2 linked regions of the Oryctolagus cuniculus genome follow. The protein of the gene in region 2 purifies or fractionates together with the protein of the main gene of each other region. This does not show direct contact. Links are inferred from orthologs where the notes say so. Each region holds a gene or a part of one and is shown on either strand. Other genes may lie near its edges.

Region 1 (3,500 bases), on a different chromosome or scaffold from region 2:
AAAAGTAATCACAGAATCACAGAGAGCTTTAATGCATGGTAATGGCCTATCTGCAGGCAAACATGGGGAAACTAACCTTGTTGTGACATGAAGGATGGGTCAGTGAAGAGTAAGAAGGTACTTTGCACACAGAGTAGGTAGGTTTTTTTTTTTAGTTTTTTGTCAAGCTTTTGTATTGTTTACATGTGTGTTTGTGTGTGTGAATGAATGTGCGCAATGGGGCACCATGTAAACAGAGTAGTTAATTAATATTGAATGGATCAAGACAGTAAGACTAAATTAAAATTTACTGTGTGTCTCTAACATGACATCAAATCCATTGAATCCCATCCCATTCCATATTGCTCCATTTGCCACTTAGAGAACAAGCCCTATCCATTTCAGAAGGAAATAACACTGCTGGTGTTCTCTAAAAAATCTATTCACCACTCAAAGGTGGCCCTCTAAATGGTCTACTCTTGCAGAAATTAACATTTTCCTCTTCTATTCAGAGAGAGGTACATTTGAGATGCTGCAACTGTTGAAAAAGAAAACAAAATTTACCAAGTTCAAAATTTAGGCAATAAGTAACCCCCACACACACACACTTCTGCAAAGATTGGAAAAAAGGAAACCATAAGTTGTGACCTCATATTTCTTATACTGTCTTATAATGCCAAAGTTAAATACATTCTAAGATAAAACCTTTTTGATGATGCCAAAGTTTTTCTTCTGCACAGGTCAAGGTGCCATCTGCACAGCATCAACTACTCAGTGAGAAGCTAAGGCTGAAAAATGCGGAGGAAGTCATAACCTACCTGATTTTCTTCATGGGAAACCCTCATCTGCTCCTTGAGGACAGACATCCGAGCTGCCTCTTCTTTCCTCAAGACTCTCTCTTTCTTAAGCTCAGGACTCCAGAATGTCTTGATGCTGTTCATGGAAGATCCCAACTTGCTGTCCTTGATGTCCAGCTCTTTCCGGAGGAGGTCATTCTCTCTCTGAAGTTCCTTTAGCTGGGCTTGAAGATCCAACATTGTGCTATCTCTTACCTGCCTCAACATGGAGGGGACCTGGTGGTGGTGATGATGGGTTGAGCTGGTCAGACCACCATGTTGATCCATATATGAAAGGACATCTGTGTGGGAAAGTCCAGCGGAAGCAATATTGGGACTGCTCCCCATGGCTGTGACTCGGCCTCCATATACAGCTCGATTTGTGGCCCTGCCCAGAGTCATGGTGCCCTTTGGGTAAGTTGTTGAAGCCACTCCCTCATGATCACTCAGATACATGGGTCCAGACGTAGCATAGGCTGCATTAAGAGACTGAATGTTTTCCATAGACAGAGTCTTGCCCGTTCCTCCACCTCCCCCACTACTTGTTCTCCTATGGCCCAAACGAGGTGACCTTGGCAAACGAGGAGACCTGGAAGGACTACCTTCCAGGTTGGTGATTGTTCTTGCACTTCCATACATTTTTCTTGTATTATGAGTTACTATTCAAGAGACGAAATGCTATACTAAGTTGGGGCTTATGTCAATATTTCCACTGTTGACCAGAATTTTCAATGCATTCTTGTCGTAGTCTGTACCAGAAAATGACTCCAATCAAAGATCTGCAAAATGAAAACAGTGATAAGTAAAAACAAACTTATTTAGAAATCTGACTACAACTACATGACATTTTACAATATATAGACAGGTAAATGGTTATATTGAGAGATAAATGATCATTCCACCTATGAAGTTCACGTAAAAGGAAAAGTAACCCCAAAACTTTACTAATTACAGGTACATTTTTACAAATTCTCCCACCCTACTCCTAAGCAAGTTTTGAGCAAAAAACAGGCTTTTTTTTCTCTCAGGAAAATAAAGCTATCCATTTTGATTTGTGGTATGTTACAGTTTGGATCACTAGAAAGTTCACCAAAGATTCCCCACCATGGAAATATTAGCAATAAAATAATCCATCATCAAGTACATGAATCCATACATATGAAGCCTGACAGTCACTCGAAGAAATTGCTGCTTCCTAGGATACAGAATTTAAGTATTTGGAAAGCATCTGTTACCTTCCTCTCCAGTACCCTTTACAGACATCACGAATTAATCACAGTCCTTTTTCCCACTAGGTTCAGAACTCTCCCCTCATAACACTCTAAATGGTTGACCCTCAATCAACTGGAACTGACACATGTTAGCCATCTTGGAACTAGACAAAGCAGCAGCTCAATGAATGAGACACTGACACATCTAGCCAGATCCCCATTATTGTCACCAGAGAAAACATTTAGTCCTGTCTTGTTCTACTTCCACACACATTTTCTAAGTCTTTTTAAGAATTTTTTCCCATTTCAGTTAACCTTAATATTCATGTTAACTTGGGGCCAGCATTATGGCTTAAGCCACCACTTGTGACAATGGCATCCCATGTCAGTGGCTGGTTCAAGTCATGGCTACAATCTAGCTCCCTGCTAATGTGACTGGGAAGGCAAAAGAAGATTGCTCAAGTGCATGGGCCTCTGCCATTCAGGCTGGAGACCTAGATGGAGTTCCTGGCCCCTGGCTTTAGCCTGGTGCAGCCCTGATCATTGCAGTCATTTGGAGAGTAAACCAGCAGTTAGATGGTAGGTATCTCTTTCTCACTCATCATCCCTCCCTCCTTTCAAATTTGCCTTTCAAATAAATAAATAAATTTTAAGAGCTATTCATATTATCCATTTCACAATTATACAGAAATCAAACAAAGGAAAAATATACCAGGTTACAGCTCCTTGTCCCATAATCCCTACAGAAAAGCAATAGAATGTCCCTGTGATGATCACTCAAGTGTATTAGTGGAAATTTTATGTATCTGGGGCTACAGGGTTGTGATTATTCCTTCAATATTAGAATCTGAATGGCCTGGGGTGTGGCATATAGCTTGTGTTCTTTCTGTTATAGGGTCTTTAGTATACTTTTTTCTTTAGCTTTATAATCAAAAGAGAACAGACTCTTTAAAAAGGACAAACTGGAGTTGAAATCTCCACTCTAACACTAACCAGCTGAGTGACTCTAGGCAATTCTTTAACTGTAGGAAATTCCACTTTCCAAGTGTGAGAATGCAAAGCAATATCACTCAACTCATAGCATTGTAAAAAAAAAAAAAAAATACATGGGGCTGTCTCTGTGGCCTAGCAGGTAAAGCCACTGCCTACAGTGCTGGCATCCCATATGGGCGCCAGTTCGAATCCAGGCTGCTCCACTTTTCATCCAGCTCTCTGCTATGACCTGGGAAAGCAGCAGAAGATGGCTCAAGTCCTTGGGCTCCTGCACCCACATGGGAGACCCAGAAGAAACTCCTGGCTCCTAGCTTCACATGGGCCCAGCACCAACTGTTGCCAATCAGGGAGTGAACCAGTGGATGGAAGATCTCTCTCTCTCTGCCTCTCCTCTCTCTGTGTAACTCTGACTTTCAAATAAATAAATAAAACTTTTAAAAAATTACATAAGATGATGTTGATAAAATACATACTTTGGTAC
Region 2 (4,070 bases):
TTGCTATCCTCAGTTTTTAAGACAAGAGTCCCCTCAATAAAAGTATACTACTGTTCCATTACTTGTAGATAATATGACACACTTGTATGGCAACAAACTGAGACTCACCAATCCATTGCACAAAAGACATCAGTAAAAGAGGATAACTGATACAAGTTAATGCAGAGGTCCAAGACTGTAGAAGTCTATTGTATAACAGCAAGACATATTGTGATATTTTGTGAAACCATGCAATGAAGGAAAAATATTTGCAAGTAAGTGGAAAGCACTCATAGGAAAAGCAGTGGGCAAAAAAAAAAAAAAGTGTTACAGGTGAGCAGTTGGACAATGCTTTATTTTTCATTTGCCCATAAAAGCCCATACAATCATATAATCACTGTCCTTAACCAGTTAGCAGGTTTAGGATTCTGTCCTAAAACTCACCCACTCCCACTTAAAATTCATCACTCTCCACCATGCCTGAAACAGCCAATGAAGAGGCGTGATGGCCACAACTTGCAATGTGCCTTCCCCTTTCTAACCAGACTGTCAAGCAGCCACCCATATTTTCCACTAGGTGCTGGAAGCCTCCATCCACTTGCTGTCTGCAGTGAACACCAAAAGGAACAGCAACACACCTGGAAATACTGAAGAGCAGAAAAGGTGTCCAGGACAGGTGGCAGGGGCTGCAACCAGTAAGGACAGACAAACTGACAACTAGACACACAGACAGCAGCACCATCAGACACCATCCATTACTTCCAGTCTCAGAAGAGGGAAAGCCTGCAGCACCGGGGATGCCATTCTTCCACTAGGGACAGGCAGCAGATTACCGAGGGCTGTGCCTCTCTGAAGCCTGCAGGTTTAAAGTATTTGTTTTTCGGATGAGAAGGAGCAGGGAACGCAGAAGCCTGCTGCTCTTTATAGAATCAGGCCAGCTCTGGCCTGCCTGGTTAACAGCCCTTTTCTCCATCCATAGTTACAGGGCAGGAATGACTGGGCTTCTACTATTTTGCTGTGACCCAGCAACCACATCTCTCCCTCAGTGTCGCCTCCCTGCTCTGGGTGACAGTTGCACTGGTTGGAGACTCATCAGTTTGTGAATGCAGCCTCCCTTCTTCCCTCTCCTGTGAGGCACTGCTGCACTGAGGGGAAACGGAAGAAACCTTCCAGGCAGCATCTTCCCTCCAGGAGGCAATTCTAGGGGTGGGAGAGAGGCCATGCTGGGTGTGCTCTGTACTGACTGTCACTCCTGCTCCCTTTCTACTCTTTTTTTTTTTTTTTTTTTTTTTTTTGCTATCAGCTAACTCCAGATGCAACAGGTTCCTCTCAGCTCCTCATGCCAATCCCCTGCCCCCAGATACACCTGCTAGCTTACACAAGGGGCCTGAAGAATTACTCCCAGTCAGGGTCTCCAAATCCTCCCACTCCATAGTGGGAAACTTTCCCCAATACATGAAGACTTCCCCCAGGAAAGACAGGATGAAGTCCCCTTCAGCTCCACTCTGTGGGTGATGCTAAGGATGAGAAAGCCCGGTCTCTCTGCCAGTTCCTTGTAAGCAGTGTTGTCTGAGCAAGCAGCAGCATAGTTGTCACACACCCCTGCACCACCAGCAGCCAACCCTATCCCCTCGCCGTCCCCAGGAAAATAGGGCACCAGACAGAGATGCTTTGAGGGCTCTATGGGCTCTAAAGAAGGCAGGATGTGTGCAAACACTCAACATCTTACTGGACTGCTTCCTCCAGGAATGGAGCAGGCCCCAGAGGTCTCTTGGTGCCCACCAAAGAGAGACCTCTATTTTATTCAGGCCAGATTCCTCAGCAGCTTCTCTCATTATCAGAAACTTTGCATTGCCCGTGGCATTACATCTGGGTAAGAAAATGTATCTTCACACAGGTATTCTCTGCTCTAGACTGTGAAGAACAGGGTGAAGAGAAGCTGGGGAGGCAGGTTACCAAAGATGGCAACTGCCCAGAAAAGACCCAACCTTGGTCTGTGAAATGAATGAGTAGCAAAATGAATACTAAAAATCAGCATTTTCATTCTGTAAATGCGGGCACCCTTCACCGGGCTAACCCCGACCTGCCAAACAACTCCAAAAGAGCAGAGGAGCTGTCCTCAGCACCTCTTCATCCCACCCCTCCTTTCCACTGCTTATCCGCTGCCCCCTCACCTGCTCCCAGCCCAGGGCCCTTCCACTTTGGCGGCTTCAGGTTCTCTGAGCTCCCTCACATCCCACCACCGGGGTGGCCCCTGTCCACTCCCAATCCTCCCGGGCACCCCAGCCTCAAGCCATCTACACCCGGCTCCTTGGTTCCGGCTTGGTGGCATCCCCTGCTTCCCCTGGCCCCACTGGCCTCACCCCTACTCAAACCCAGCACCCCTGGCCCCGGGGCGGGCGCCTCCGCCCGAACCCAGCACCCGCGCCCGCCCCTCCCCCACCCGGCCGGGAGGACTGGGCGAGTGAGTGGTGAATGGACGGAGGGAGGCACCGAGGCACGGGTGGCTTACTTGAGCATGGCTTCTTCCTTCTCCTCCTCTTCCTTCTGCCGGTCCATCACTGCCATGATAATGTTCCTCTCCTCTTCGGTCAGGTGGCTCAGGTCGGGCAGCTCTTGCATGGGGGGAGGCACCGTAGGTGGGCGAGGACCGCGGGGCCCCACGGCCGAGGACATCTTCGTGGCCTGCCCGCCCCCTCCGCTTGCGGCTCGCTCTCACCTTTCGGAAGCACGCCCAGCTGCTGCGCCCCTGCTTCCCCTCACAGCCGAGCCCTCCCGGCGGCGGCGGCGGCGGCGGCGGCGGCAGGGGGAGGAGGAGCGGCAGCGGCGGCGGCGGCGGCGGCGGCGGCGGCGGCAGCAGCGGCGGAGCTGGGGAGAGCGCGAGCCCAGGCTTTCATGGTTGTTTGCATCCACCCAGCCCCGGATGCTGCCTTTGTTTTGGTCGCCCTAGCGAGGCTCGGGGCCGCCGGCCGCCTCCCGCAGCCGGGTCTCGGCGGCGGGGGCGGGCGGGCGGAGGCGCGGCGGGCGCGGCGAGGGGGCGAGGGCTTGCGCCGGGCTCCGCCGATCCGGGCGTCTCCGCGGGGCGCGCGAGGCGGGGGCGGGGCCGGGGCCGGGGCTGGGGCTGGGGCCGGGGCCGGGGCTAGCGTTAGCTGGGGCTGGGGCCGGGGCCGGGGCTGGGGCTGGGGCTGGGGCTGGGGCGGCCGCCGCCGCCGCCGAGGCTGCTCGCAGACTCAGCTGCCTCCAGTTTGGGGCTGCGGGAGGGAGAGGGAGAGTTTGGGTGTCAGTTAGGCGGAGTCTCCGAGGCTTCGCTCCCGGGTGATGCTGCTGCTCTCGCAGACAGAGCTGCCAGCCACCCAGTCCGGGATACGCTCCGCCTCTCCGCGCCCACCCGCCCACTCCCAGGTCCGAGGCACGCGTGCCCCGGCCGCTCCCCCACGCTCGCCAACGTGCACGCCACATCGCTCTATCCCCAGGTACCCCTCACCCGTGAGTCATCCTCCCTCTCGTGGTCCCTGGTCTATGTCATCCTCCCCAGCCCTGTTTTTCCATGAGTTGCATTAATCATCATCATCATCCTCTCTACCGTCTTCATCATAGAGCATTAATATTGTTTGGGCACCCACAATGTTCTGAACAGCAGGATGGAACACCCTGTGGACACATTTTTTTTTCCTTCCTGTTATCGCGTTTACTAGTCAAGTGTTCAGGGCTACAACAATGTGATTTTCTAGATCATTTTTACACACACACACACACCCCTCCAACAGCCTGGATTTTGTGGGTACACTGTACTCTTCAATGCAGTGTCTTTCTTGACCCGTTCTCGCTAGGACTGTTCAGCAACGTATCCTAATTTCGTCTCAAGATGCCCCACAACACAGTACCTCTAAACTGTCATTTAGGGCTCTGGGTAGCCCCAATGCACCACATAAATGCACTTCTTTGGTGCTTGCAAATGGATTATCTACTCTAATTGCTCTAATGATATTCACTGTCATCATGTACTCATGCCTTAGCCTCTATAGCGACTTCTCCAGAAACACTGATCCCAGGTAAGAAAAACATCCGATCATATCCTATTGCATTTAAGA

The links.
Region 1: the proteins of RIMS1 (region 2) and ERC2 purify together in Homo sapiens (affinity purification with western blotting; 3 studies listed by BioGRID and IntAct, with this or other methods). This does not show direct contact. The link is inferred for Oryctolagus cuniculus from reciprocal best matches to the Homo sapiens genes RIMS1 and ERC2.

What each region holds. Positions count from the first base shown.
Region 1 is NC_091441.1:93,425,821-93,429,320, reverse strand, and holds part of ERC2 (ERC protein 2), read right to left. Parts: intron 1,595-3,500; 5' UTR 1,455-1,594; coding exon 798-1,454; intron 1-797. UniProt on the Homo sapiens protein: Thought to be involved in the organization of the cytomatrix at the nerve terminals active zone (CAZ) which regulates neurotransmitter release. Seems to act together with BSN. May recruit liprin-alpha proteins to the CAZ.
Region 2 is NC_091436.1:100,750,118-100,754,187, forward strand, and holds the start of RIMS1 (regulating synaptic membrane exocytosis protein 1), read right to left. Parts: upstream 2,801-4,070; 5' UTR 2,656-2,800; coding exon 2,492-2,655; intron 1-2,491. UniProt on the Homo sapiens protein: Rab effector involved in exocytosis. May act as scaffold protein that regulates neurotransmitter release at the active zone.